Linked DNA regions of Mus musculus. The protein of the gene in region 1 interacts with the protein of each later gene in a biochemical or structural test. Links are inferred from orthologs where the notes say so. Each region holds a gene or a part of one and is shown on either strand. Other genes may lie near its edges.

Region 1 (3,648 bases):
TAGTCTCATAGAACAGCAGTGTTTCTACCCACTTCCCACAGAGATGATAATACAAACCCAGCACTTGAGGGTTGTAGAGGCAGGAGGATTAAGAGTTCAAGGCCATTCTCTGCCTTGTAGCCAGTTTGAGGCCAGCCTGGTCAACAGAGTAAATCCCCAAAGAGCCAAGGCTGCACAAGGAAACCCTGCCTCGAAATCAAAACAACAAAACAAACCCAGGTATAGTGGTGTGTGCCTTTAATCTTAGCACAACACAAGTAAGGAACCGGACCAAACCGAGCCAGCCGGTGAAGTTGAGGGGCCGAGTGTCCAGTGAGAAATCTGTCCATTTCAAAGTACCGCGAAGCTGTTAGGGACAGACATCTGCACCATCCTAAGGCTCAAAGGTTCCCTTTGGGAGGGGAGTAATTTACAGGTGCATGAGATAATCTGGCAAGTCCAAACCAGTTTCTCTGGTTGGGCCAGAACCCCACGAGGCCTCGCAAGGTCTGATGGCAGACAGACACCTTTATTTCTAGGAAGCAGCAATCGATTCAGTGTTCTCTGAGCTAGCTAAGCCTTGGCCACGAATGGGGAGACAGGAACCTGAGTCCATCTCCCAGGGATGCCTGGCTGCAGGAACTGAAACTTCCCACGAGGGCACTGTTGTTTTACTGCAGTTCCCTCAGGGCCTCTGCCACAAGGAAGACAGATGCCCTGGGATGGGAAGGGGTGAGAAGAGCCCAGCCCTGAAGCCAGGGGCTGAGCTACATGGATGGGTATAAGGCTAGCCTGAGGTATACATTAATGAAACCCTGTCAAAAGAAAAATAATCCCCTTCCCCCAGTAGTCATAGACCAGGACACTGTTTTTTGTTTTTTTTTTTTTGAGTTTTTCCAGACTGGTTCCCCTGGCTGTCCTGGAACTCACTCTGTAGACCAGGCTGGCCTCGAACTCAGAAATCCACTACCTGTTAAAATGGACTGCCAGGACAAATGATAAAGATGAGGTAGCTTAGAAAGCCTGAGGGCTAGCAAGCATGTGCAGCACACACACACACACGCACACGCACACGCGCGTGCGCCACCCCCACCCCCCCAACCTGCCCAGGAACTTACCATCTTCTGCAGTATTTAGTTTGAGACCCTTGCCCTTAAAACTCAGCTGCCCTCCGGCTACCTGAGTTTTAGCCAGGGTCTCTGCCAGTTTGGCAATGTCTTCAGAGGCCATGGCTGCAGTGGCGGGCTCCCCTGCAGGTCTGTAAACTGAAGAAGAAACTGCATTAAAAAAAGATTCTTGGGCTAGGTATGGTGGCACACGCCTTTAGTCCCAGTACTTGGGAGGCAGAGGCAGGCGGATTTCTGAGTTCGAGGCCAGCCTGGTCTACAGAGTGAGTTCCAGGACAGCCAGGGCTACACAGAGAAACCCTGTCTCGAAAAAAACAAAAAGCCAGAACCAAAAACCAAACAAAAAGATTCTTGGGAGAGAAGGGAAGGAAGACTGAAAAGAACCTATATTTGATTGCCATCACCCACAGATGCCTGTTACTTTCCGCTCCAGATGAGACACGGCTGACCTCTCAGGGCACCTGCACTCATATGCATACACACACACACCAGTGCTCACACACACACACAACCAGTGCTCACACATGCATCATGCACACAGTTACAGGGCTAGGAAGAAGGCTCAATGGTTGAGAGGCTGCTCTTGACGAGAGCTAGAGATTGACTCTCAGCATCCTTATGTTGGCTAGGGCCTCCGTGGGCACTGTAGACAAACAGTGCAGACTTATATGCAAGGCAACATACTCAACACATTTAAAAAAAATAGTGGTTCAGCTGGAGAGATGGCTCAGTAGTTAAGAGCACTGGCATTCAATTCCCAGCAACCACATGGCACTCACAACTATTTGTAATTCCTGTTCCAGGGTATCCAACATGTAGGCAAAATACTATGTACACAAAATTTTAAAAATTATTAAAAAATAGTGTTTTATGCCTTTCATCCCAGAACATGGGAGGCAGAAGCAGGTTGATTTCTGTGAGTTCAAGTCCAGCCTAGTCTGCAAAGTGAAACCCTGTCTCAAATAAACAAAAACAACAACAAAAAAACAAACAAAGAAAACAAAACAAAACAAAACAAAACTTTGTAAAAAGGATTCTTCTTGAAACTTAAGGCCCTGGTTTTTTTTGTTTGTTTGTTTTTTTGTTTTTTTTGTTTTGTTTTGTTTTGTTTTGTAAAGATTTATTTATTCATTATATGTAAGTACATTGTAGCTGTCCTCAGACACTCCAGAAGAGGGAGTCAGATTTCGTTATGGATGGTTGTGAGCCACCATGTGGTTGCCGGGATTTGAACTCTGGACCTTCGGAAGAGCAGTCGGGTGCTCTTACCCACTGAGCCATCTCACCAGCCCCCAAGGCCCTGGTTTTGATATCCCAAGGATAACCTCAAAGTGTGTGTGGAGTGTCCCCTGAGTTCTCTAGTCAGGGCTGTGGATTCGCCCCCTTCCTGCCATGGAGAAGAACCCAAGAGCTAACCCACCAAGAGAAATAAATGAATAAATATGTCATTAGAAAACTAACAGTCTGGAAAGGTGGCAGAGAGCTCAAGTCCTGCAAGCCCCTCTCCAAACTGCCCCAGCAGGGACACCCAGTGCAGGGCAGTCAAGCCCCAAGCACGGCTGCCCCGAGAGTCACGCACCTGGCGGATCATCTTGGCAGCGCTCTGTCTGAGGGTCCCACTCCTCAAACAGGCTACAGATGGCTATGGGATCCAGGTCATCCATCCCAAGGAACACCCCACTGCCCATGCTGGCATGACTAGGGGAGGCACACAAGGCTAAGGCCACTGCATGTCGGTTTCAATCCTGGCCAGAGACTGCACTTGCCACAGTGGCCCCTCAGAGGTTCCTAGGAGACCAGAAGTACCTACATCACAAGAGCCGCCCGCCATCACAATAGATCTGTGTGTGGAAAACATCCCAGCTTCTCCAATGTGTTTCACGGCACACTTCTAACAGCGACCACATCAAGCAAGCAACTAACTACTGCAGGGCACTGCTCGAGCCTCCAATTCAGTTTGGACACTGGGATCCCAGGAACTGAGAGCCCAGTCTACAACGCTACCCCACATCCACGAACCCCAGTGTGTTTACCTGTGCTTCTGATCTACTGGTTAGAAACTAGGGTTGTCATGACTCTCCCCATGGGGTCAATTAATTTGCTAGAACTCACAGAACTCAGGGAAAACAGGTTTTTTGTTTTTTTAAGTAAAGTTATTTACTGGTTTATTGTAAAGGACAGGTGTATGTGTGGGTATGTACTGGGGATGGTACCCCAGACTTCTCACATTTAACTATACCTTAAACCCCAACAAACAACTTCATTCATGCATTCATTCATATACAGGGTCTCAATGTGTATCTCTGGCTGGCTTGAATTCAGTCTGTAGATCAAGGTGGCCTCAAAGTCAGAGAGGCCTCAGCTTCTGCCTTCCCAGTGCTGGGCTTACAGGTGTGTGCTATCATGCCAGCAAACGGTATGTAAAGACTACAAATGAACAGCCAGATAAACATAAAAAATGCACCAAGGAAAGTCTGAGAAAAGTTAAAGCCCAGAGCGTCCACGCACAAGACTCTCCTGTGTACAGATAGCTGGGAGCCTG
Region 2 (3,648 bases), on another chromosome or scaffold:
TGAGGACAGTATGGGTCTCACATGTGGCATTCTTGCCATTCTTGCCTTATGTTTTCAGAACATTTCAGAAATAAGAGACTAGCATGGGAACTGAGTTTATGTTGGTGTGTTGACACAACCTTCCTCCAGGCCTACCCTGACTGGCTGACTCTGCCAGTCTGTGTTCACACATGTGTGGAGGGAGACTGGACCATATGGATTTCCTTTGTTCTTGCAGGTCCTGACTGTTAATCGTTCTTCTTTTCTTTTCTCTTTTGCAGGTGACATGGAAAGTCCTGTGTTTGCACTTCCTGTACTGTTAAAGCTTGAACCCCATGTTGAAAGCCTCTTTACATATTCTTTTTCTTGGAATTTTGAATGTTCCCATTGTGGACACCAGTACCAAAACAGGTCAGTGTTGATTGCTAATGGATTCTTTGTGCTATAATGGTTTTCAACAGTGTACTTTAATAGGTTTTGCACATACATTACACTGTGTCTCAACACTTCCACAGCAGTTTACCCTCCACCCCCTTGGATGGAGACAAGGTTGCAATAGCTCAGGGAGAACTTGGCTGTGTAGCCCGGGTTGGCCCAGACTATAGGTTTTCTGCCTCAGGAAGCATCATGTATCAGCATTTCTTGGACCCCAACACACATTTGATCCTTTTCTAAGAGGGTCTATCTAGCTCAGTAGCTGGGGCTGACCTCAGAGTGCCACTTTCTTGCTCAGCCCTCTGAGTCCTGACAATGGAGGCATGGATCACTGCGATGTCTGCTGTGAGAATGTCTCACTAGTGAGGTTAAAGGGACAGTTTGTGACACAAGAGGCTAGAGTCAACTTGTTGGTCTAAATTAACTTAAAAAAAAAATCTATGGCTTGAAGAATAGCTAAAAGGAGTTGTTAATTTATTTACTGGGAAGTTAGGAACAGATGAGATTAGCACCCTTCACTCTCTGGAAGGTTCTTAGCAGGGCGTCTGCTCTGAAGTCCTTGGCAGTGTTTTGCCCTCTGTTAGAGACAAGGCTTTTGTTTGCTTTAGGCCTCCATCATGGATTTGCTCTTAGTGTATGGTGGCATTTATAGTGTTCAGGAGAGCGGTCAGAGAGGCTGGGTACTTGTCTGCCTCGCCGGTCATTGCTCAGTATTAGCAGGAATCAGGCTGCCCAGTGCAGCTCACCCACCAGCAAGCCTCAACAGTCAGCAGGTAAATGATGAGGAGCGAGCGAGCGGTGCATAGCGAGTCCGTGGGATCTGGACAGCAGGCAGAGCCGAGCCTGGGAGAGAGCTGTAGAGGAGACTCACACTAGGACTTGAAATACTTGTCTACGCCAAGGAGGATTCTGCTCCCAGATTTCCATTGATTTGTACAAGGGGTCAGGTTTTCTGTTCATAGTAACGAGTCAGTAGGAGATCAGGAGACCTCTAGTGTCGTTTCTTGCCTCTGTGATTCCCTGTGCTAAACTCCCTAATCACTACGTGTGTTTTTAATAATATAAACAGGGCTGATGGTTAGAATCAGCTTAATTACAGCTTTTCTAGAATTCACAGGCTAGTGGTTTGACAGCTTTTCATTGAGTGGGTTGTGTGTGCCAGGAGTCACCTAGCCACTGAGAGTGATTTCTGTTGTGGCAATTCAGATGACTGGCTGCTTAGGAAAGTAGTTATGAACTCACTGGCGAGGCCAGTGACTCAGCACTCTGATCTTTCGGCAGCTCTGTGCATAAGAAGGAAAGTGGGCTCTAGCAGTGTTCGCACAGAGCTCAGAAAGCACCCAGGGGAAACCGGCAGCCACTTTGGTTTGCATCTTGTCTTTATTTCTTTAAAACCTGAAACTTCTTTAAACATTCTTTAATCTTTCATTCTAAAAAAAAAAAAAGCAATTTCAGAGTCAAAGCTAAGACAGGATGGCCTTTAATCAGTGTACGTTGGGGTTACAACAACTGGCTTCCTTCTCCTCTGACAGAAGCTAGTCAACTAGTCCTTTCATTTTAGTGCCTCTGGGTTTTGTGCCAGTATAAGGACTTGTATTAGGTTCCGTAGTTATATTTTTGGAGAGCATAAAAAAGCCTGGCCTTTGGAGGCTGGTGGTCCTGATTCAGACCCAGTTTATCTGCCACTCGTTGTTGTATGAAGGCCATGGCACTTGACACGGGAGAGTTGTTTGTCGGGGGAGTGTAATGTGATACTTGCTTTAATGAAAATGTTTTTACTAGAGTTGATGCAACTAAGATTTAGTATACTTGGCTGACGGTTGAAGATGGCTTTTAACTGTCGCCGTTTTCCAAGTGATTGCCCCCACCCCCAGCCCCCCAGCAGATGAAAAGTTTAAGTTTGTATCTGTTTGAAGACAGTACTCTCTTTGTTGTCAGTGATGCTAAGCCACTTTGCATCACAACTCAGCCTGAGTCAGACAGCCTGAGAGTAACAATGTTCACCCAGAGCCTCTGATGGCTCCTCACTAGGTAGCTGCCAGTACATTGGGTATGGAAGCTGGGGACTGATTCTACAATGTGCTAAGTGGAGACCAGGGGTGGCCCTGAAATAACCAGTGTGCTCAGCAGGGCATCAGCAGTGATTCTCTGGAGCATTAGTGGAGGGAAGCTCTGCTGGTCACCCTTCTGTGCATGTCAGTTGGTGTGGAGGCTCCAGTGTCTCTTCCGTGGCAGGGGAGGGCATGGCTGTGCTGATATGGGCGGGGCTGGGAGGCAAGCAAGAGCATGCAGTTGCACGTGTTAACTAACTCCAGCGAAGCTAGCTGAGGGATTCAAACTGTGCCTGTTTTTTAGGTGTGTGAAGAGTCTGGTCACCTTTACCAATATTGTTCCTGAGTGGCATCCACTCAATGCTGCCCATTTTGGTCCATGTAACAGCTGCAACAGTAAATCACAAATAAGAAAAATGGTGTTGGAAAGGTGAGTTTCCATTTACTTAAACATTTTTAGGAGACAGTGAAGATGCATGTACAGTTCCTCGTGTCGTGGGAAGGGAAGTAGTGAGCACCACTTACCCTTCAGAAGTTGGAGTGGACACTTACTTAGGGCCACCAGTTGCTTACCACTGTAAAAACTGAGGGTGGGCAAGCAGGACACAGTAGGCTTCAGGAGGGTGCTTAGTTTGTCTCTTGTAGTGTTTCTCTCATCCTGTTCCCTCTCCCATTGGGTGTACTTTTATGTGCATTTGTGTTTTACCTGCATGTATGTCTGTGTGAGGGTGTTAGAAGCCTGGAACTGGAGTTACAGACAGGTGTGAGCTGCTGTGTGGGTGCTGGGAACCGAACCCAGGTCCTCAGCAAGAACACTAAGTGCTCCTTACTGCTCAGCCATCTCTCCAGCCCCACCTGTGTGTCTTAATGTCTGTTTTCTTCCGGATGTCAATCAGCTTGCTGATACTTCATCGTCTTACAAGCTCCCTGCTGCTGGCTTCATTCTAAACTTCCTGCTGCTGGCCTAGGGTAGGCTCAGAGTTGCCATTCCGCTGACTCCTTGGCAAGCGCTGGGTCAGCTGTCTGTCTGTCTGCTGGGTCAGCTGTCTGTCTGTCTGCTGTAGGACTGGTGCTGCTAAGTGTGTGTACCTGGCCCTATCTGCTCAGGTGCTTGCATGTCCTTGCACTCTGAATGTAAATAGAACTCAGAGTAGATCTGCCCTTGTCGTTTCCCTCTGGTCAG

The links.
Region 2: of the proteins of Rangap1 (region 1) and Uspl1, one has a biochemical effect on the other in vitro, tested with the Homo sapiens proteins (2 studies listed by BioGRID). The link is inferred for Mus musculus from reciprocal best matches to the Homo sapiens genes RANGAP1 and USPL1.

What each region holds. Positions count from the first base shown.
Region 1 is NC_000081.6:81,723,389-81,727,036, forward strand, and holds part of Rangap1 (ran GTPase-activating protein 1), read right to left. Parts: intron 2,895-3,648; exon of another isoform or gene 2,795-2,894; coding exon of another isoform or gene 2,686-2,794; intron 1,245-2,685; coding exon of another isoform or gene 1,210-1,244; coding exon 1,098-1,209; intron 1-1,097. UniProt on the Homo sapiens protein: GTPase activator for RAN. Converts cytoplasmic GTP-bound RAN to GDP-bound RAN, which is essential for RAN-mediated nuclear import and export. Mediates dissociation of cargo from nuclear export complexes containing XPO1, RAN and RANBP2 after nuclear export.
Region 2 is NC_000071.6:149,201,500-149,205,147, forward strand, and holds part of Uspl1 (SUMO-specific isopeptidase USPL1), read left to right. Parts: intron 1-260; coding exon 261-390; intron 391-2,769; coding exon 2,770-2,895; intron 2,896-3,648. UniProt on the Homo sapiens protein: SUMO-specific isopeptidase involved in protein desumoylation. Specifically binds SUMO proteins with a higher affinity for SUMO2 and SUMO3 which it cleaves more efficiently. Also able to process full-length SUMO proteins to their mature forms.